Linked DNA regions of Mytilus edulis. The protein of the gene in region 1 purifies or fractionates together with the protein of each later gene. This does not show direct contact. Links are inferred from orthologs where the notes say so. Each region holds a gene or a part of one and is shown in the gene's direction. Other genes may lie near its edges. The genes, in order: synaptojanin-1-like and endophilin-A3-like.

Region 1 (11,288 bases):
TGGCAATATCCATCAGAACTGTGTACAACATTAAACATGTGATATATTCATAAAGTTGCTATCATCCTTGTACGGAGAACAATGTCATACAAATGAAAATACTTTTAGGACATTTAAAAACAAGAATGTGTCCATAGTACACGGATGCCTTAATCGGACTTTCATTTTCTATGTTTAGTGGACCGTGAATTTGGGGTCAAACCTCGAATTTGGCATTTAATATGAAAGATCATTCCATAAGGGACATGTGAACTAAGTTTCAAGTTGATAGGACTTCAACTTCATCAAAAAACTACCTTGACCAAAAACTTTAACCTGAAGCGGGACATGTGCAGACGGACGGTACGACAGATGAACGGACGAACAAACGAACGGACGCACAGACCAGAAAACATAATACCCATAAATGGGGCATATATTTTTTTGTCACTTACTATGATGGTGTTCGATAAGTTGACTTAATTTAGGTAATCATTTTTCACATTTTATGTATGTAAAAGTCAAGCCAGATTTATCACACAAACATTTATAGCAGTAATATAGGGTTATTGCATGAATATTGGGGAATATTGTCCCGAGTAGAATTTTATATTGCACGAGCTTGCGAGTGCAATATATGTTCTACGAGGGACAATATTCCCCAATATTCATGCAATAACCCTTTTATTGTATAGCAATATAATATTTGAATGTAAAAATCGGTTTAAACTAAGATTTAAACATTGATGACGTCATGAATTTGAAGATTTATTGCACTAGTGCAATATTAGAATTTATTGCACGCTAACTTTTGGTTACGTTCTGTGGGAAATATTATATTGCTATACAATAATAACTAATATGACAGACTGGTCGTGAAATATCAAAATATTAGTCAGAATCAATCATTTGTTATACAATTTATTCTTCACCAGAGTAAGATGTCGAGTTCGGTGAACAGACATGTGTGCTATCAGTGTATATAGTGATACGGGTTTAGGCATAGAAGGTTTTTAATGCTTGTTTGTTTTTTGCTGTTTCTTTTTAAAAACAAATGGTATTGTCACCTAAACATATGCCGTTTAAATATATATTTTTTTATTTAAAATTAAAATTCCGATGTCTTGCAATTTTTCAACAATTCATATGAATAGATTATTCATGCAATCGCTGGTGGACTTCGTAATACTGGTTTATAGGGTTATACTATACTGTTTTGTGTTGACAAATACTAAAAGTTTGTTCGAAAAAAATAAAGTCACAAAATTACAAAATGACGTAAAATACTAAGTTCTTCCATGACAATGCGTAAAGTATTAGTCAGCTGGTCTGTGGTCCTTTTCTGGGTAATTTTGAGTTCGGAACTAAACGACTTTAAACTCCTTGTTTGGATTTTGATATTTGGTCTCGACGCATTACTTGCAAGATATCAATGTTCGAAGTAGGTATAAATTGCATCAAAATGATTTCATTATCTTGCAATTTTCAAGTAATTGTCTATGTCCTTGTTTACATCTGTTAAAATTCAAGTGCCTATACTTGTGAATACGCGGCACAATAAAAAAATCTTGCCAACATTTTAAATTTAGTTCATACAAGTTCATCTGAGATAAAAAAAAAAAAAAAATAAAAAAAATCCTTAGTAAGAAGTAATTGTCAATATTGTTACCCATAACCAATGCATAAAACGCGACTTGATGTAGGTCAAAGAACAGTAAATGGGGCTATATAGGGAGTCAGCGAATCATGACTGGAGCGGGCCCCCTTCCCCTCCTTTTATGAACATTTCTGGATCCGCTACTGAGCAGTGACATAATTACTCCGTTTTGTGATTGAAATAGTGTAAGCCTTTGGAACATTATTACGGCCCCGCTTTTTTTTTTTTATTGGAATGCCGTTTGTAAGCATTCAATAATGCCCGCTATTAAACGGATTTTTTTTACAAAAAACTTTCAAATTTTACAGACGCAATAGACTATTACATATATACTATTTGGTAGATGGACATATACTCTGAAATTGCTAATCGATAAACTTAATATTTAATATATACTTCAAACATTTTCTTTTTACTAAAGTTTACAATAGCGTCAATCTTTATTTTGGACGTTGTTTTGCTTTTCCTCCGAAACACATTCTCTTAAGCATTGCACTGCAGGATTGCCCCTTCTGTTTCATTTTCTTTTGTATTTTGTCACTGTCGTTGTTAAAAGAAGTTTGACTTCCGGCTTCTTTTGTAAAATATGCATCATTTGATTGTGACGCAGAGTTTTTCAATTTCTGTTTATTTTTTTTACTTTCCATTTCGTCCTGGATTTCATACATTTTTGTCATCACTTTATTTGTAAGAGTTTCCAGGCTCTTAGCCTTTTTATGATTTAATTGACTTCGTTTTCTGTTTACTGCTGACATATCATAGACTTTATCGGGTATAAGAAAATCTTTGAATAAACATTTGGTGTAACTGTAGGGATCATCCTGGATATCTTGTAACGCTTCCTTCCAAATAACCCAATCTTTCCTCGCACTGCCCCAGATATCAGACAGCAAGAAGTGGCCTATTCGACCTGTCCGTGTATCAATGGTTAAAATTCTTTGTGAGCTATCTGTATTGATGTCTAGAAATCCATTAGGAACAACCCATTCTAATTCCATTCCATCAGTATCCAAATCAACATCTGCGTCATACTTGACGGAGGGGCATAGTACATAATCTGGGACGTTTTCAGAAGCAAGTATGAAAACATTTTCTGAAATAGCAAGAAACACTTGTCTGATTGGTTCTCCACATTTGTCTAACTCAATAAAAGCCCCTTCTGCAAGCAGAGTGTCTTTAAATTCTGAATATTCAGGTTGGAGGATCAACTTCTGTATCCGATTTCGTGCCATAAGTTTCATACTTCTTTACTAGAAAATATATGAAAATATAAAATTAAATTTCAAAAAGTGGAATCGTTTTAAAATTAGTTTAAAAATTTAAAAAAACATATAGGCATGCCTCTATATGTCTTCGATTCAAACGCAGAGACAAATGGTTTGTGCACAAATAATACAATTCAGAATGATATTCTCGAGACATGAGATCATATAATACAGGTAAAGACACTTATCACAATAAATTGTTTTGCCATTATATAAATAAGCATGGTTATTTAAGCATCTTCTTTCTCAATCCACATGTATTTCATTTAACAGATTTGTTTGGTAAATCACTGTAATTACTTGTAAACATTTACAGAAAATGGCAGACAAATAAAATGAGCAACACAAAACGTGACCCGGCAAAACCCTTTTAAGTTACAGCATTCATCCAGACAAGAAACCCAAGCTGGAAGTAATTTCCATTAAGAATCAAATCTTTTATTTTATTTTGCCCATAAGCTATCCAAAGTTGCAACCAAACTAAATGAGAAGTAAAGTTGGAATTTGCTACATAAAAACACAATTATCTAATCATTTTTCCGCTGGTAGCTTGAAAACATATAATAAAAAGGTAAAACAAAAAAGGTTTTAAAATGTAAGCATTCATCTCCATGATAAAAAGACTAATTATTCGAAGTCCGATTATTGGAAATCTTTTCTGGTGGGTAGGGTGAAAGACCTTTGTGATAATATTTGTTTTGTTTCCGTGTAAAAAGGACCTTAAAAGCCGTGTATTAAAATTTAACAGACCCTCTCCCTTTTATCACTGTACCATCTCACTTGTGTCTGTATATTCATACTTAAGATGTTATACTGTTTGATGGTATGTTGTATGAATAAAAAGCGGCAAGGTAAATAAACATAAAATTAATGAGACATCATTTTCAGAATGATCGACCGCGATCGATCTCAGCGTTTACACCGAAATTAGAAGGTACACTTTGTAAGTCCGATTTTCGAAGATCATTGTTTGTCATAACCATTAGACTAAAGATCGATCTTTTTTTTTTAAATCGATATCAGCAAAGACGGATATGATGTACAAGTATGTAACGGTCTTAGTTTATATATCTTATGGAGTAACCAAGCTATGAAATCAAAACTTACCTTAAATAATTACGATACCGTAAGTTATTTTAACCTACAGCTCTGTAAAAAAAAAAAACCCACCATGTAATAAGAATACAAGTTAAAAAAAACAAGCAAACAAGAATGAACATTTGATTATTAGAATGGTTAGGTGTTAAATATTCATTTCTGTGAAGTCTTAGATTCTAAGATTGACAATTAACATTATAGAAATTAGAAGATATGTTATGATTTCCAATAGGACCTTTATCCATCAGAGACCAAATGACGTAGATGTAAGAAACTAAAGGTCATGATACAATCTTCAACAATGAGTAAAACCGATACCATTTAGAAACATATGAAAACACTGATTTGAATATTTCATACGAGAAGCCAATGAATAAAGCAAAAAACTTAAAACAAATATGGTAGAAAGAAACCAACGTCAAGCATGTTTTCTATTTTCTTTAAGTCATATTGCTGTCTCTCTTTCTCGAATCATGAGGTTGTGCATGGGGTCCTTCATTTTCATATTCTTTAATTTCATTTGTTTTGCCCATATGTCTCTATTCTTTATATTTTTGGCCTATCATTCTCAATTCGTTAATATTTTAGCACACCATTATTTATTATTTGTCATTTTCTCTTTAATTTGTATTCTATCTTTGTTCTGTACTTTTGCCCATTATTCTCTATTCTGTAAACCCCATCCTGACTCTTTGATACAGTTTCCGATTGTCCTTTGATATCTTCTCCCCCTAATTTTGATTACTTTCTCCTCGCGGAACATTCTTTGTGAAATTTTTCTGATGTCTACAGTTGAGAGTCCCAATGAATTTTAAGTAAATTTAATTTAACTTTTCAACTACTTAAAGAATGTGATTACGTTAAATGAAACTTTATATTTTGATTTGGCCTATACAATCTAATTAAAAACCGATCTCTCATCGCTCCTGTTTCTGATATGTCGCGTACATATCAGAAACAGGAGCGATGAGAGATCGGTTTTTAATTAGATCAGAAACAGGAGCGATGAGAGATCGGTTTTTAATTAGATTGTGGCCTATACGGTATGGAACCCTTTAGAGTAAATAATTATCTATGCGCTTGCTCCCTTGGGCATACATTTTCACACAGAAGGAAAGCAATTCCCTTAAATTTTCGTTCTCAAAAATTTTACAATCCCAGTCTCTATAGCAAATGATCACAAACAATAGCATGATTTATTATTGAAGTAGTAAATAGTTACGTGAAATTCTTCCTTCAACCTGTATCCAACGTTCTCTTCATAGTCGCCAGGCATGAACACGTCACTATGTATGACGTTAAGTCTGAACAGGTAACGCTTTTCACGCCATACATATTTTATTTTATTTATTATTATTTGGGGAGGGTCATGATTTCTGTGTTTTCTTTAAAGTTTTAAGGCAGTTTTCTGTATCTTTGAAAAAAAGACTTCTTCTGTTAAATTCTCTTGTTCTATCCCTTACTGCAATTATGTATGATTTCGTTTTTTCTGCCTACATAGTTCGTTTCTGTAATCTGATTATCAGTAGTTTATTACACAATCCTTTTATTTTCCACAATGATTCTTTACATTTTGGGACCCCGATATTCTCTTTTCTTTAATGTTTTAACATTTTTATTTTTTATTAACTGGGTCAGTCATTTTTAAAATGTCACGAGCGATAGATTTTGGTCCGGCCGTTTGATGATTTTCTGCACAAGCCTGCAGCCAGGGAATATCAAATCCTCAGACTTCGTTATAATACTTGCTCTAATAAGACCCGGGATTTTGCCTAAACAATATACGCATAATAAAGATGTGAAATTCTTTGGCCAAAAACTAGAAATGGAAGCTTCAGATTTGTATTGAATTCAGTAAATTTTCGTGCCTGAGATTCTCATAATTTCAAATCATCATATAATTACTTTATTTAACCCAGTACCTTTTTTCCCAAAAAAACTAAACAACCACAAAAGACAAAAAAAAATAGTGTGATGAAAATTCATATAGTCTATTAGAAAGGAAGGTCAACGTTAATTTTAGTAATTGTAAAAAAAAAAGGCCAAACTAAAACAAACAAAAAGTAATTTGAGGTGGTTTTTTTTTTTACAATTTCGATTATTAAGTTAATAAATGAATAAAGTCAACCGTGTGTTTAATCTGTATGTAGAGGTCCTTTTTCATTACAATTATCTCAATTACTCAATTTTGCACGCCTGCGAACAGGAGTTGGGGTGTGTTGTCTAGGTTTTGGGTTTTAGCTTATATCTTCAAACCGGAAGTATAGCAGACGGAAATAAGGGAGACAACTTCTCAAAATAAGAAGATGGCGATGATTAAAAATTTCCGAGTTTTTCATAAGCTAGAGCCTCCCCCATATAGCATCATTCTTGAAAACAGAAATAATGAGGATACCTTGATGTTTGAATCTAACGCATTAGCTGTTTTATGTACGTGATATTTGAAACAGGACATGTAATAATGAGTAAACAACATATCCTGTTGTCACTTTCATAAAATCAATCTCATTATTTTACAAGTCCTGCTAGTCTGCTTTGAAAATTCCCCTAATTTTAGCCAATTTATCCTCTTTTTATGGCACAGAAACGGCTGATTAGGAGGTAACACATACGTTCCAGCTTCCTGAGGGTGCTTTGATTTCCTGCAATCATACTTTTTTAATTGTCCAAAAAGTTATGCAGTCTTGAAAGGGTAGATGATGAAAGTTTTTAACCACCTTGACTGACTATGCAGCCCTTGCATAGTCGGAGAAAGGCTTTGTAATTCTATTTTGCTTTTATGCCTTCTTGTGACATCAAAACACTTTTTTCTAAAAGAAAGTGTATATTTTATCGTCATGCACTCACAATTACTGTTAACATTATTTGGCAAGAATTTTTTGTGTTATACGTCATGAAGGTACCCCCATTACTACTCTCGGGTATCGGGTCCGTTAGCCCTTATGACATGTTCGCCCTTGGTCTGTTCCCCCTGAGTTTGTTCGCCCTCTGAAAAAAATTAATATTCAGGGCATTGAAGTTGAATAAACTTATTCAGATATATCTACGGTATATATTCTTGAAATTTATGGAAACATGGAAATACTTTTGATGGATTTATATTGAAAACAAACGTTTTGTTAAGATAAAATATTCAGCTTGAAATTAATAAAAACAACAATGTACGAACTGTCAATTATGAAACAAATTTACAATTTCATTTATTATTATACTCTGAGACTAGTCTCAGTTATACTGCATACATTAGTGATTGATTGAATACAATTATTTTGTTAACAAATATCAATGAAGATAAATGCATTGTATTGAACTATTCCAGTATTCTATTCTGCAAATCAAAGGGAAAATGATAAATTGATTACGAAAATATAATATTCTGTCAATTTTTCAACAAACTTTTACATATTTTGTTCAAATACTTAAAATTATGTGACAAGACAACAATTAGAAAAAAAATAAAAATCAGGGCAAACGGACCCAGATTCCTACCCTCATCCAAGCCATGTGGATAATATACTACTTGTTTAAAACATTTTAATAGCTATTTTCCCCATGATGCTTCACTTTTGATAGTATAAATTATTTTTTGGCATCAAACTCTGTAAATTTGACAGACCTGAATTTCTGGACCATTCGTTTTATATAAACTGGAAATATAGGTCTGTCAAATTTTACAGAGTTTGGTTTGGTCACACAAGAAAAAGAATGGTCAGTGAATATGATAGCAATCGTATAACCCTAAGCAATGTAAGAAAAGCTATCACTAAAGAAGCGAGAATTCTTGTAGTTGCTACTGCATTATTTCTGACCTCAGCTCTGACGTCCCTAAACGCACTAATGATGTTCACTAAAACCAAAGTTTTTGACGGAAATGCATCAAATTTGAAAGTTGTCTATTGCTTTGAAGTTGATAACCAGTGTAGAACTATCTGACTGTCTGACCAAAATGTTATGTCTTCTCTATGTAAAGCTGATTTAACGTGATCAGCTATTCATGCTCCAATCAATGTGACTATTAATTCCAGCTGTGGTAGTGTCAATTGTTTATGCAGTGCTACTCTATTTGCAATAACTTAGGATGACTCATGATGGTTACATATGTAAACAGTTGCTCCATATGCAGTTGTACTAGTGTCTACAAAAACAAAGTTTTTTTTCTGATTTGGTAAATTGGTAAAGAATGGTCTTTTTAATTCTGTATAAGTTGCTTTCTCCAATCCTTGGCTAAATGTTTTCATGTACTCTGTATTTCTAATGTTAGTGGCTCATCACATTCCTGCTTCTGTTCCCACAATGTCTGCATCAAAATATTTGCTTGTACGGATACAGGGCTATGTAATGATAAATCCTAGCGGATTGTAAATATGTGACGACTGTTTAAGAATTTCACGTTTCTTATTTTTGGTAGATCAATATAAAATAAGTTTACTGTCTAAATTAAACATATACTCATCCTAGTCTGTAAATTCTTGTTCAATGTGATCCTCGTGTAGGACTTCTATTACCTTCTCGTTCAAATCATGAAGAATCTTCTTTTTCTGGGTTACAGCATCCTCTATGGCTTTGAATTCCTCCTTTTCAACATTATCCGGATTTTCCTTTGGATCCTCGAATTTGGTCCAGAGCTTCGTCACTGCTGCTCTGTTTGCCAGCATGTATTGCCTTTAAATTCGTTTCCATTGTTGAACCAATTTTCCGTCAGTCACAGCACCATAAAAAGTTGTGTAAAGTAGAGTAAATGTGTTGTGTATACATGTAGATCTTGTTTATTTAACGTCTAGCCATTGCCATTTTCATTGGAAGAAGCAACATGTTATTTCCAGTTAATTTGTTGTGTTGGAGCTTTTGATTTTCCATTTGTTTAGAATTTTTCTCTTGAGTTCTATATTTTTGTTATTTTACTTTAATTACAACTGGACATGGAGAGAGAATTTTCAGCAAAACTTTTGTTGCATGCCATGATGACCATCATGTTTTCTATTAGTTTTATAACTACTGATGAAATTAACATTAAACTTTGTTTATTAAATAGCTGCTGCTGAAACAGAAGCCATTAAAAAGCAGTATGTGAAGATATTGGATGCATATGGATGCTTGGGTGTTCTAAACTTCAATCTAGGTAAATAAATGGTTTACACATGTATGTAAGACTGTTAGTACTGGGGATGGCATTAAATAGAATTACCATTTCTGTCTTGTCAAGAACAGTTGAATGGTTTAAAGAACTAAAATTTTATCTGCAAAGTCAAAATCAAGAATTTATATCAACTATGTTTACACTGTGTCGACATACAATTGTATATACAAAGTTATATACAGCTCAGAACTTTAGAAAGACTTCATGGATGATAATGATACTAGTATTTTTGTTGTCCTTCACAAGACACGCCAAAGTATGTGTCATCAATATACATGATATATATAGAATTTCTGCAAGGTCGTATAAAATTTACTTCTCATATCCAAACATAAACTGTTGACTAGGATTCAAAAACTTATGAATGCAGTGATAGCTGCCAACTCCATAGTAATTAATTATTATAGATTAAGAATACAAAAACAATTTCTGTAAGGTAGATCATGTATTGAGGCATGTTTGAATGTGAGATTTTGCTTTGGTAAGATTTAGATTTTTGTAAGAGACAATACAAGTTAAATTACTTTGCCGCCACATTTTTTCTAAATGCTTGTATACAAATTTTGGCAAAAATCCCCAAACAACACAATTTTTAGCTGGCCCCATGTGAGCTTATGCCATCACTTGGCATCCGTCGTCGTTTTCTGTTGTCGTAAACTATTTAAAAAAACTTTACCTCTAAAACTACTGGGCCAAATACCTTCAAACTTTAAATGTTCCTTAGGGTGTCTAGTTTATAAATTGATTTTGGAGTTTTGATCCAATGACAAACATGGCCATCATTGCTAAAAATAGAGCATAGGGGTCAAATGCAGTTTTTGGCTTATATCTCCAAAACTGAAGCTTTAAGAGAAAATCTGACAGTTGGTAAAATTGTTCAATTGGTCAAGATCTATCAGCCATGAAATTTTCAGATGAATCAAACAACCCATTGATGGGTTGCTGCCATTAAATTGGTCGTTTTAAGGAAATTTTGCATATTTTTTTTATATTATCTTGAATATGATTATAGATAGATATAAACTGTAAACAGCAATAATGTTCAGCAAAGTAATCTACAAAAAAGTTAATGAGACCATAATTGTCAATTGACCGCTTGGAGTTATTGCCCTTTAAAGACAATTTTACACAATTTGTTCATCAAGTTTGGTAATATTTAAAAATCTTCTCCTCTGAAATACAGGTGAGGGATTCAGGCTCTTGAGAGCATCTTGTTTCTTAATCCATGAAAAACTGATATTCACAAAAAATAAAGAATCGACAGTATGTTGATTACTAATACTGATTTATTAATTTGTTTTATTTTTCAGGACAAGAATGTGTATCATATTTGGTTTTAGTGACTGGTTGTTTATCTGTCGGTAAAATTGGAGAATCTGACATTTTCAAAATCACTACAACTCAGTTTGTGTCTTTACGAAATAATCCAGGTGATGAGGAGAGGATACAGGAAATTAAAAAGCTGATGAACTCTGGGACATTTTACTTTTCATGGTCAAACTCTGGTATACCATGGGACCTTACACTCTGTGCTCAAAGAAAATTACAAGAACATGAAACCGATAACAGATTCTTTTGGTAAATTAAACATCGTTAAATAAAGAAATTATCTTGTCAAAACTGATATAGGTTTGATATATTATGAGATGACATCTCAAAAATTATATAATAGGAAATGATTTTCTCTTATGATTGTGACCTGTTATCAATCTCTTGCATGAATAGAAATCTCTCGTATCACACTGCATGGAGTGTGATATGAAAAAGTGATATGAAAATCTGCATTTATTTGATTGTTTTATCCAGCATCACAAGACAATATTATGACATTTTCATTGGTTATTCCTTAATATACAAAACACTCACACATTTCACCTGACAATCTTCTTTTTGTCAAATTTTAATACATTCTGAAGCGTACAAAAAGTCTTAAAATGTCTGATATTAAAGTTAGACACTGTAAAAGGACATTTGACCTCATACTGTATTAAATGGTAAAAGCCTAGATCAACATTTCTCAGATTTTGAATTTTACACATTGAGAGTGTTGACCATAAGAAAAATAGGTTTAACGACTTGTAAAAATTGGATATCAACTCTAGTTATTTAAGTTAAATAGAAATAATAAACAAGCCAAAGTCTTGTTTATTAT
Region 2 (11,734 bases), on another chromosome or scaffold:
CTGGTTATTTAAATTGTTGCAAAGTTAATTTTCTCATTGAATAGAGACATTGAACAGCTCTTTATTTTATAAGAACTTTATTTTTTTATTAAACCAAAAATTCATTAACATGACTTCAAAAAATTAAACTCCTAGTGATGAAAATACATATACCATACTAGAAGAACACAGCAAATTATACCTTACTTAACTTGAACTGACAAATATTCATAAAACATTTCACGGGACCATCGAAAAGTGAAATAAAGGGCATGGGAATCATTATCCTCTTCTAATTTGATACATCAGCAAAACACCATTTATATTGATTGCAAAACACATTTTCTATTTGAGACTAACCAATTTCTCAACAATCTTGGAACCCAAAAAGTATGAAATATTTGCCACTAAATGTAAAGCAATCAATCACATATCACTTAGACATACAATAGAGTTTATACTAAACAGGAGTTATATTTTAGTATTCTTATTTGATACCTGGTCAATGAGACATTTATCGAGAAAATTCTTTTGTTCCTCACTAATGTACTGTCTACATTCTGGTGCTAGTTTAGTGTTCTCCTTCACTTGGAATGGCATAAAAAGACCTGAGGGTTCTACAGTTGCCTGAAACAAACACAAAATCATATTGATTAGAAATATGTTTTTTATTTCTTGAACATGTTTGACAAGCAAAAAGACCTGATGGTTCTACAGTTGCCTGAAACAAACACAAAATTATATTGATTTGAAATATGTTTTTTATTTCTTGAACATGTTTGACAAGCAAAAAAACCTGAGGGTTCTACAGTTGCCTGAAACAAACACAAAATTATATTGATTAGAAATATGTTTTTTATTTCTTGAACATGTTTGACAAGCAAAAAAACCTGATGGTTCTACAGTTGCCTGAAACAAACACAAAATCATATTGATTAGAAATATGTTTTTTATTTCTTGAACATGTTTGACAAGCAAAAAGACCTGAGGGTTCTACAATAATACATATACAGTTCATAAAAAAAAAAGTTATTTTACAGTTGCTTGAATAATATCCTCAAAAAAGTGATAACACCCACTTTTTGAGTAGTTGGACATTAAAATAGTATCTAAATCAATGCAACCATACTTTATAATTTAAAATAAACAACACTTTCAAACTAATTTTCAATATGAATAAAACAATAATTTCCTTAGAGGTTTACCTTAGAAGATTTTGGTGAAGTACTAGTCTTGATAAAGAAACTCTGGAATGCATCTTTAACTTTCTTCTCTTTTTTTATCTGAAATGAAGAAAAGGACATTTCTAACTTGTAAACAAATCAAAAACACATATAAATCTAGGTGTCTTCCTATTGTTCTTTTGAGAATAGTATATTTTTAGTTTTGGTCGATAAAAGCTTCAAAATTGACAAATGAAAACTGTCTTTATGGAGCTATGTAGGTTTTTTTTATTATTTGGTCTAATTGTTCTATTCAAATCAGTGAACTTCTGCAAATAGATATATAGCAAATCTGAAATTGGCAAAAATAAACTATGCTGAGAACTGGAAATTTTTAGGTGGACACTTCCGGCAACTGTATTTAGGAAATCGGTCATTTGAAAAATCAAGTAAATTTTACTCTTAACATGAAGATTCTAAACACAACACTGTGATGTCAATTTTGATAGTTCTATTGCAGTTATCCTTTTACGACCTCATTTTCAAACAAAAAACTTGGTATTAAAATAGATGCATTTCATGTATTATTTCATGTTATAGTATTTTTACTTTTTCTTCGTTTTCTTTTTGTTTTTCTTCTTCCTTTAATCTTTTCTCTTCATCTTTCTTCTTTTTTTCTTCATTCTTTGCTCTGAAAATATGACTAATTGATATAAGTTCATTTTCACCCTAACATATGTATCGTTGTAATTAAAGTTTTCATAATATATCTTTTTGTTTTAATGCAATTTTTTTTTGAGTACACGTTCAAATGTCTTGACTGTTTTGATTAAACAATATTTTGCATAAAGTTCTTGAAACTGGTACAACAGAAACTCGACTTTATCAATCATCTATGAAAATAAGGTCTAATTCTAGGACATGTTCATCCTACAAACATACTATACACTCAATATAGTTTACCCATTGCTTAAAGTATCCAAGAAGCAGATTTAACCTGGAAAACTTAACAGGTATTTCCCTTGAACAATGATTGTTTCCCCTTAATTCCAAATTCAAATTTGAACAGTAACCCTTAATTTGTATTGGCTGGCAATTATGGTCACAATTGACTTTTTTGTAAATTCATATTAAATGTTTTAGTTTATATCTTACTCTTGCTCTTCACGCTTCTTTTTCAACTCATCTTCCTTTTGTTGCAGCTTCTCTAATCTTTCTTTTTCTTTTTTCTCCTAAACAAGTGATAAAAATGTCATTAATCATAAAAATCATATTTTAAAACAGAAATGATGTTTGCGAGTCTAAATTGATGCCCAATTAAAAATTATATCATCTCTAAACTGCAAAAAAATAGAGTACTTAACTTTCTATAACATAATAACATGTAAAAAAGAAATGTACTAATATCTTTTAACTTGAAATCATAATCACTTTTTCCTCTTTCTTTTGTTTGTCCTTTTCAGATTTGGCAGCTTCTCTTTCCAGTCTTTGTTTCTCTTTCTCCTTTTCCTTTTCAACTCTCTCCTGTTCTTTTTGTTTCTTTTTTTCTTCAAAGGCCTTTAATTTTTCTTCCTTGAGTTTCTGTCTTTGCGCTTCCCTGTCTTTCATTTTTGCCTCTGAAAGCTGGGATCAACCAAGTTTTCAAATTAAAATGTTGAATATTTTTTAGCAAGAGAAATCATTGAAAACGTTTCCTATAAATACAAGTTTTGTGTACATTTCGATGGATATATAAAATTCATTGGAAATTTTTCTTTTCTTTTGAGTAACAAATGTAGATCTAGTAAACTATCAAAACTTTCTATACTGACAATTTGCAGCATGATCAAATGTACATCTTCTTATTTTTATATGTATTACTGTATAAAGGTTCACATATTACCTTAGATCTTGGTTTTTTGCCGGATTTAGGAGTTCCATCACTTAAACTGTCCCCTGGGCTTTGTGATAAAGGCGTGGTTCCTGACTGTGGACTTATTTTTGTTGAAACTGGAGTTTTAAATACTGCGGAAGGTACACTGCCCTTACCAGGAGTAACTGGGTCAATAGCACTGTTGTTCATATCTGATAAACTAGTTGATTCATCTGAAACATCCATATTTTCTTTGTCTGCAGAAACATCTAAAATTTCCCCTTTTTTTGAGCTTCCCAAGTTTTCCTTATTTTCACATGTTTCTGATGAATTTTCTACAGGAATAAGACCTTTACTGACTGCTTCAATGATTTGAATATAATTTTCTACTTTCTGAGTCTCATTGGTCGAGTTCTCTTCTTTTGATTTGACAGTTTTTGAAGATTCTTTTACACTGAAGAACTCTTTTATTTTTTTTGATTGACAGGTATTTGTGTCAACAAAAGATACATCAGATTCCTTGCCATCATCTGAATCGGTTATATCAATACATTCAATGTTTGTTGACGAGGTAATTTCTTCCTGAGAATTTTTACGTACAAATCTTTCCAATGTATTACGAACCCGTATCTTAACATTATCTGCCTCAGAACTAGAGCTAACTTCTGCTTCACCGCTAGTAATTGGCGCATTACCAGATCCACATGGTGTTCCTGATTTGGGAGTTTTGGGAGCTTTAGCACTAGGTGATTCTGCATCAGATAGTTTTCTTTTCTTTGAAGCAGCAGTTGACTTTGGAGAGACTAGCTGTGCTTTATGCTCAATTGTTTTAAATGGTAATCTAGCTGTAAAAAATACAAATTTAAATGTTACCTTATTAACAAAAAACTTCATTATTTTTTTTAATGTAAAGTCAGCATTCATTAAAATATTACACATGTTACATGTAAGCTCTCAAAAAGATTGGCACAGTGACACAAGTAGGTATATATATTCAGAAAGATTAGCACATATGTAGGTATATATATATTCAGAAAGACTTACAGTAGATGAAGTAAAGAATCGTTGTTGAACACACCTTGTCCTAGTTTTTTCAGACAGACTAATTGTAGATGAAGAAAAGAATGATAATCAAATATACCTTGTCTAAGTTTTTTCGATGGTGTACATCCATCATCATCATCTGCAGAAGGACCTGAAAAGAAAAAGATTTTTTTTATTTCAAAATATATTCAAATTATTACATTGGTTGCAATGATTTACATTGATTTCCCAGTCAAATAAAAACCGATAATTTTACATGTGAAATAAACGTGGTTATTTCACTCTCTGACGTCATACTTTATAAAGCATAAAAATGTCAGTATTCACCTCAGAAACTAACAAAACCTTTAAATAGACTTAAGAAGGGATATAGTTACGATACTGTTGTCAGGTCATTAAAGATTGCATATTTTGGCGTTAATATTGATTCACTTATAGGGTCTTTGTATCGGAACTAAACACATTTATTCAAAAACCAGTTGTTGGCATGACACGGGTTATGTTCTTCTCATATATGTTTTGATGGTACATGTATGACACTAAACCCCTAACGGGAAGGATTTTGTCTGATATTCATATGATGAAATCATAATTTTTCAATCAGTTTAATTGAAGTTTGGAGCTGGTATGTCAGTTAACTGCTAGTAGTCTGTTGTTATTTATGTATTATTGTCATTTTATTTATTTTCTTTGGTTACATCTTCTGACATCAGACTTGGACTTCTCTTGAACTGAATTTTAAATGTGCGTATTTTACTTTTCTACATTGGCTAGAGGTATAGGGGAGGATTGAGATCTCATAAACATGTTTAACCCCGCCGCATTTTTGCGCCTGTCCCAAGTCAGGAGCCTCTGGCCTTTGTAAGTCTTGTATTATTTTAATTTAGTTTCTTGTGTACATTTGGAAATTAGTATGGCGTTCATTATCACTGAACTAGTATATATTTGTTAAGGGGCCAGCTGAAGGACGCCCAGGTGCAGGAATTTCTCGTTGGATTGAAGACCTGTTTTTGACATATTCCCCATTTCCATTCTCAATTTTGTGAGATTGCTGTTCGGGTTGAGCCAAGGCTCTGTCTTGAAGGCTGTACTTTGACCTATAATTATTGACATTAAATACAATGTGACTGCGGATTTTTTTCTTTATAAAATCAGTGGATGTAAAAATTACCCGTTTTCCTTCGATTTCCTTACTTTAAGAATCATCAGTATTGCTGGATCATGGAAGCAATTTTTATGCAAACAATTATTATCTGTATTTAAAGATATTTTGTAAGAAATCAAATTGGTAAGTTAAAAAAACATATAAAGCAAGATCATAGATCGCAAGATTTTTTTTTTTTATCGAGGACCTTGAATTTCAATTTTGTTGTAAGCTGAACAGACATATATAAACTACAACCAGGGACTTTCTATACTAGTATATACTTAGTATAGAAAGTCCCTGCTACAACGAATGGGAATGTTTAACTAAGTACATTTGTAACAAAGGCATTGACCATAATGTTCTAGTATGATCGGGAGATGTTAAAAAAATGATTCAACAGCTGATTCAGCAGGCAACGAATTTCCGATATCATAAAAGAATCACAATACAAAGGGAACTTCCTCTGCTTAATTGAGCCACTAAATAAGTGTGAATAGTTAGGTTTTATTCAAAATTGTCGAAAGCAAAGTTTCATGTGTTCTCATACGAATACTGAATAACTGACGGACAGCCAGACGAAAAAAAAATTAAAAAATACTGAAACGGTTCACTATAGATAAAAAATCCAGACAATGACAGATATATCATGTATCATAACACTCTTAAAACTGTAAGCTTGTGTTTATGATATAAATTCAAGTTCTTCTTGTACATATTGTCAATATTTCATTTTATTACTTTGAAAAAAAAAACGGTGCAGAAAATTCAGGGGAGGCACTGCCTCCCATGCCTCATAGGTAGTTACGGCCCTGTTTGAAGAAAGTGACGTCACAATAGGAAAGTTCAGAAGAAACCAAGAAAATTTAACGTCACAATTAAAATTCAACCAATCATTTGCCGAGAACAGATTTTTCCCTAGTGAGGAGAAATGTTTTTCCCACACCAGTCAGGAAATGTGAAAATAGCCAAATAATTAGAGAAATGAAATTATCAGTCGGCAAGATCAAAGAAAAAATTCGTAAAAATAGCGATAATTTAAGAATATTGTGCTAAGGGCAAAACCATTCTGCATACAAATTTATTTGAGAAGTAGGGAGGATATGCTGTAATATATTTTTATTTACAGTACGTATCACATCAGTTTTTTTTAATGGTAAACAAACTTTATTTTTTTAAATGTTCTTTTTCACCGTAAGAATATTGGTAACTTACCATTGCTAACATTTTGCACACACTCAACTTGTGCCATTGTCTTTTGATTATGATAAATGAAAGAATTTCCTCAAATGTAGAGTGGTTTTCTTAATCTTTTTTTAGAACGGCTAAATGACAATCAAACTTGGCGGGAATGTGTACCCGCTTCAGTCCGCATAGAATATTTTTCAATGAAATTGCAAATTAATAAATTTTATTTCACAGTTCATTATCAAACAACATGAGCTGACTTCAAACTTTATAAAATATTGTTAAAGACAAGGAAAAATTAATGTAAAATTAGTTATGTGGATATTCACTGCGAAGTTCAAGCATCTAACGTCAAGACTTCCGGATGGGAGTAAACATAACTAATTTTAGATTTGTTATTTTTAAGTGAAACAAAACATTACCAAAGATGTCGTTCGCAGGATTAAAAAAACAGTTCAACAAAGCAAATCAGGTATATCTAGAAGTTTATAAACAAAGTCTTACCGACGACTTACAGGATAACAAATGTCAATATTTAAAGAATATTTTCCACCAAAACGATTATACTTATAATTTAAGATAGTATATATTTCGAAATACATCAGTCATTCAGGTTCATTATAACAAATGGACAAAAATGGCTTGTAATACTCTGAGTATAGAAAATCTGTGCAGGTGGAAAAGTTGTAACGTCAACAAATAAAACTACTGTAAAATCAGTTTAAAAGTTAAATGCTTTTTGAGATTTTTGAAAGATAAAATCTTTTTGGATTATGTTTTTATGTGTTGACATGAAGAAAAATTTAGTGACAAGCACATTTTGTATTTACATATCATCTAAACAATAAATTAATAGAAAAGTCAATTAATTACAGCTGATTATTTGCTGTGTAATAAAGTTTCAAATTTTGTTTTATATAATCATGATAATATGAGGCAGGCATTACCTGTAAATGGGGACGAGGTCTGTATGAATTATTTTTTTGAAACATAAATATTTGTCAAAAGAAAAGAAACAGAAATACCGTAACGTTTTGATTTTGGTTCTATTGTTAGGGATTTTAGTTGTGATGTTACTTAAGTTATGACATCATATGCAATGTAAACAAAGAAACGCTATCATCAGGTAATATTTTTTCATATCAAGGAATTATTAAAAATGAAATTGATATTGCGTTTCTTCCTATTATATGAGTTTGAAATAAACATGAAAGTCATATTAAATGGCTTTGCACCTGTCCTAAGTCAGGAATCTGATGTACAGTAGTTGTCGTTTGTTTATGTAATATATACGTGTTTCTCGTTTCTCGTTTTGTTTATATAGATTAGACTGTTGGTTTTCCCGTTTGAATGGTTTTACACTAGTAATTTTGGGGCCCTTTATAGCTTGTTGTTCGGTGTGAGCCAAGGCTCCGTGTTGAAGGCCGTACTTTAACCTATAATGGTTTACTTTTTAAATTGTTATTTGTATGGAGAGTTGTCTCATTGGCACTCACACCACATCTTCCTATATCTATAAAGTGTCATTACATTGAATATGTATATATGTACTGATAAGTGATTGCTTAAGTGTCTGCCAGAATAGTGTTGATTTTGAGATAATGCTCAAGAGGAGCCCGGCACAGTATAGATGAAGAAGAACAGCTTCAAAAGTTAATGCATCATGTCTTTACTTTAGGACAAAACAAGGCTAAGCAGCCGATGACTAATAAAGCATTTCTTTTACTAAAGAATATCTTGGGCTATCAAGCATTAAAATATATTTTCTAAAAAACAGTACATACTTTTTTCAAGTACCACATTACAGGGTATGATTGGAAATAATCCAACATGATTCATAACAAAATTCTTATTTTAATATTTGTTTTCAAACATACTATATTTGGCTGTGTCATAGACCTGGTACAGGTTATCCTTAATATCTTTTTTCAGTCATTTATATTGTTATATTGGAGCTTTTTATGCTTTCTTTGCAGTATATGAGTGAAAAGATAGGTGGTGCTAAAGGTACAGAGCTAGATGATGACTTTATTGAAATGGAAAGAGTGAGTAATTTGTAAATTTATGTGCAATTGTGGTTACTACAGGATTTAACACCTAAATAAAAGTATCAACAATCATTTTACATAGAAAATCATCGCTGTATCACAGTATGTTTACATTTTTAGATCTATTTGGTGCATGCATATTTATTGTTTTTAAACTCAAATTATATAATAAATTATAATAAGCACTGCAGTTTGTATAGGTACATACCTACCAACTTTTTCAAAATGCACATGGTGGTTTTGCGTGCAAGATGGCTGCCATAGTCCTAAAATACCTTCAAGGGGGCTTTCAAATACATTTTAATGTTGTTTTTTGGCTTCGTCATGCTTTTACAAGACTAGAGTCATTGTAAAATTAACTGTTTAAAATTGTGGACAAAATTGCTCTTTCAAAATTTCAATTTGGGAGCCTTCATGGGGGAAATCCCCCGCAAATAGTGACAGTTGGCAGGTATGATAGGTACAAACTCACTTGTTCATCAAAGATTGTAATGACTGTCCTTAAACGCAACGTGGTAGCATGTTTGTCAGTAGTATGGGATGTCTTGGGTAAGATCCTTTCCGGTTGGTCACTTCAAACTGAATACTTTAAAATTTGCTGCTTCGCTGTTATCACACTTAATTAAAAAGACAGGTCAGCTTAAAGACAGATAAATGTGTCTTGGTAGAGGTGACACGTCTTCCTGCCTTACCTTGTGAACTAGAGTGTTATAAAACCAAACTGTGTGTGTCCTTCAAGAACAAAGCAATATCATTCATATCATATCATTCTCATGTTCTTACCCTAAATATGCATTAAGATTGTATCTTGGAGTAAACAGCTATACATCATCATCTGACAGCAGTCTTAAACACATATTTTGCATTAAAAAAAACTTTTTACAACAAAAAAGTAAAAAAATAGCTTTTGATGAATATTTTATTTTCTTAAGAAAACTGATGTCATGGGAAAATGTGTGGATGACTTGATAGGAAAAACAGAAGAATTTTTGCAGCCTAACCCAGGTAAAGTGAATTCATATTGAATATTTTAATATATCAAACAATGTCTAAAGCATTGTCATCAGGTTACTGCATGGGAATTTTTGATTGAACAAAATTGGAAATGAATGTTATCATATCATAAAGGTAATAATGTAACTATGATTTGGTTGATAAATGATGGAGGTGTATACCGGTATGTAAGTTATAAAGGCGTAGTCCAGTAAGGGCCGATTTAGGCCTCAAATTTCAGGTCATCTGACAAAAGATTTTGGACACTTTTTAAACACTTATTTGTCTATATCAGTTGATTCAATTAATTAATGTGAAAGATTTTGACTGATTTAGTCATAAAAACGCTCCGATTCAAGCTTAAATATGAAAAATCTAACAAATATGCCAAAAAACGTCACTTTTCAGATGGTTTTTGTCAAAAATGAAAGTGACGGCATCTGTGTTCATCCTTAACCTTTATATATGTTGTGTATTATTATTAACTACAACTTACATTTCAATATTAGGAATGAATACAAATACCGCCACTTTCATTTAAGACTGAAACTCTTAAATTTTAACTAAAATGCTGAAATTGTAAAGATTTCAGTAATTTAGCATGATTTAATGATGCTATTACCCAATATATGTGCATTGTATTGTCAAAAACAGCCCATACTTATGTAGCAGAAGCATTCTCCTTTCCAATAGATAACTTAAAGTTTACATTTCAACAATTTTGTAAAACTGCTATATTTTGGGGGCAAAAAGGGGTCTTACTGAACCTACTCCTTTTGATTTAAAGTATAACATATACAAAACTGTAGAGGTATCAGATTGGTGTTTTATCAGAATATGATATGGGCCCATGGCCATCATGTCTGTATCAAGTGTAAAATTATTGGAGATTTTATATGAAAACATTTAATTTTACATTAATACGTTGCAAATTAATGTAATTACATGTAAAAGAGGGACGAAAGATACCAAAGGGACAGTCAAACTCATAAATCTAAAACAAACTGACAACGCCATGGCTAAAAATGAAAAAGACAAACAGAAAAACAATAGTACACATGACACAACATAGAAAACTAAAGAATAAAACAACACGAACCCCACCAAAAACTAGGGGTGATCTCAGGTGCTCCGGAAGGATAAGCAGATCACCAGGATATGTTTTTCCTCTGGCAGTCAGTAGGGTTATGCATAAATGATCAGATACTGCTGCTGTTTTAATTGGAAAATAGATATAATGAATCAAAAAGGTCTTAACAATCATTTTAGATAAGGAAGTCTCTGTATCCTTTGATATTGAACAATATAGCTACCTTTCCTGAAAGATATAAGAAGATGTGGTATGAGTGCCAATGAGACAACTCTACATCAAAGTCACAATTAATTAAAGTAAACCAAGGTATAGTCTTCAACACAGAGACTTGTCTCACACCAAACAGCAAGCTATGAAGAGCCCCAAAAAATTTCTAGTGTAAACCATTCAAACAGTAAAACCAACAGTCTTATCCTTTAAAAAAAACGAGAAACACTCATGAACCACATCAACAAACGACAAATTTTGAACATCAGATTCCTGACTTGGGACAGGTGCAAACAACTGTAGAAGGTTTGAACGTTTCAATCGTACCAAACCTTCACCCTTATCTGCAACAAAAGTGTAACATCACAAAAAAGAAAGACTTCACATGCTTTTACTTTATGTATTGTTGTTATACTATCCTATAATAGTATTTGTTTTCTGTATTATTTCAGCCTCCAGAGCAAAATTACGAACAGTTAACACAATATCAAAAATGAGGGGTCAAGCAAAAACAGGCGCCTACCCACAACCAGAGGGTACACTGGGTGAACACATGTGTAAGCATGGGAAAGACTTAGGAGAAGATTCAAATTTTGGTAAGTTCTCTTTTAACTTCTTTAGATTGGGCTGTGATTTCGGTCTGAGACAAACAATTGTAGTTTTTAGTTTTTTAATGTTTTTTTTTTAAATTGATACAAAATTGTTCCAGATACTCTTTATTTAATCAATGATTTTTGCTGTATTAATTCAGAAATTTTAACCCTTTGGTTTTTTGATTGTTTTTCCATTGCAATAAGTAGATCTTTACTTTAAGGTTTTAAATATTTTCAATTTCAACATTTTTATATGCAAAGTGTAAGGCAAAATTTTTCTTAACTTGAATGATCATAATCCAGTGTTCAGATATTGTGAATTTAGTGGTAATTAATGGAAGATGGTATAAACAAATTAGGGTACATTTAATTTTTGTACAGATTAGATTTTTTAGTGGTTGAAGACTATAAACCCTAATTATCACATACA

What was found.
Region 2: the proteins of synaptojanin-1-like (region 1) and endophilin-A3-like purify together in Drosophila melanogaster (affinity purification with western blotting; 3 studies listed by BioGRID). This does not show direct contact. The link is inferred for Mytilus edulis from reciprocal best matches to the Drosophila melanogaster genes Synj and EndoA.

The regions. Positions count from the first base shown.
Region 1 is NC_092350.1:30,236,755-30,248,042, reverse strand, and holds the start of synaptojanin-1-like, read left to right. Parts: upstream 1-6,276; 5' UTR 6,277-6,305; coding exon 6,306-6,429; intron 6,430-9,031; coding exon 9,032-9,118; intron 9,119-10,446; coding exon 10,447-10,714; intron 10,715-11,288.
Region 2 is NC_092347.1:85,317,835-85,329,568, forward strand, and holds the start of endophilin-A3-like, read left to right. Parts: upstream 1-6,689; 5' UTR 6,690-6,797; coding exon 6,798-6,842; intron 6,843-8,346; coding exon 8,347-8,415; intron 8,416-9,350; coding exon 9,351-9,423; intron 9,424-11,163; coding exon 11,164-11,307; intron 11,308-11,734. Other genes in the region: chromatin assembly factor 1 subunit A-like, read right to left, coding at 478-606, 1,185-1,262, 1,752-1,833, 2,298-2,374, 2,574-2,765, 3,025-3,839, 4,136-4,189, 6,398-6,434. UniProt on the Drosophila melanogaster protein: Required presynaptically at the neuromuscular junction. Implicated in synaptic vesicle endocytosis.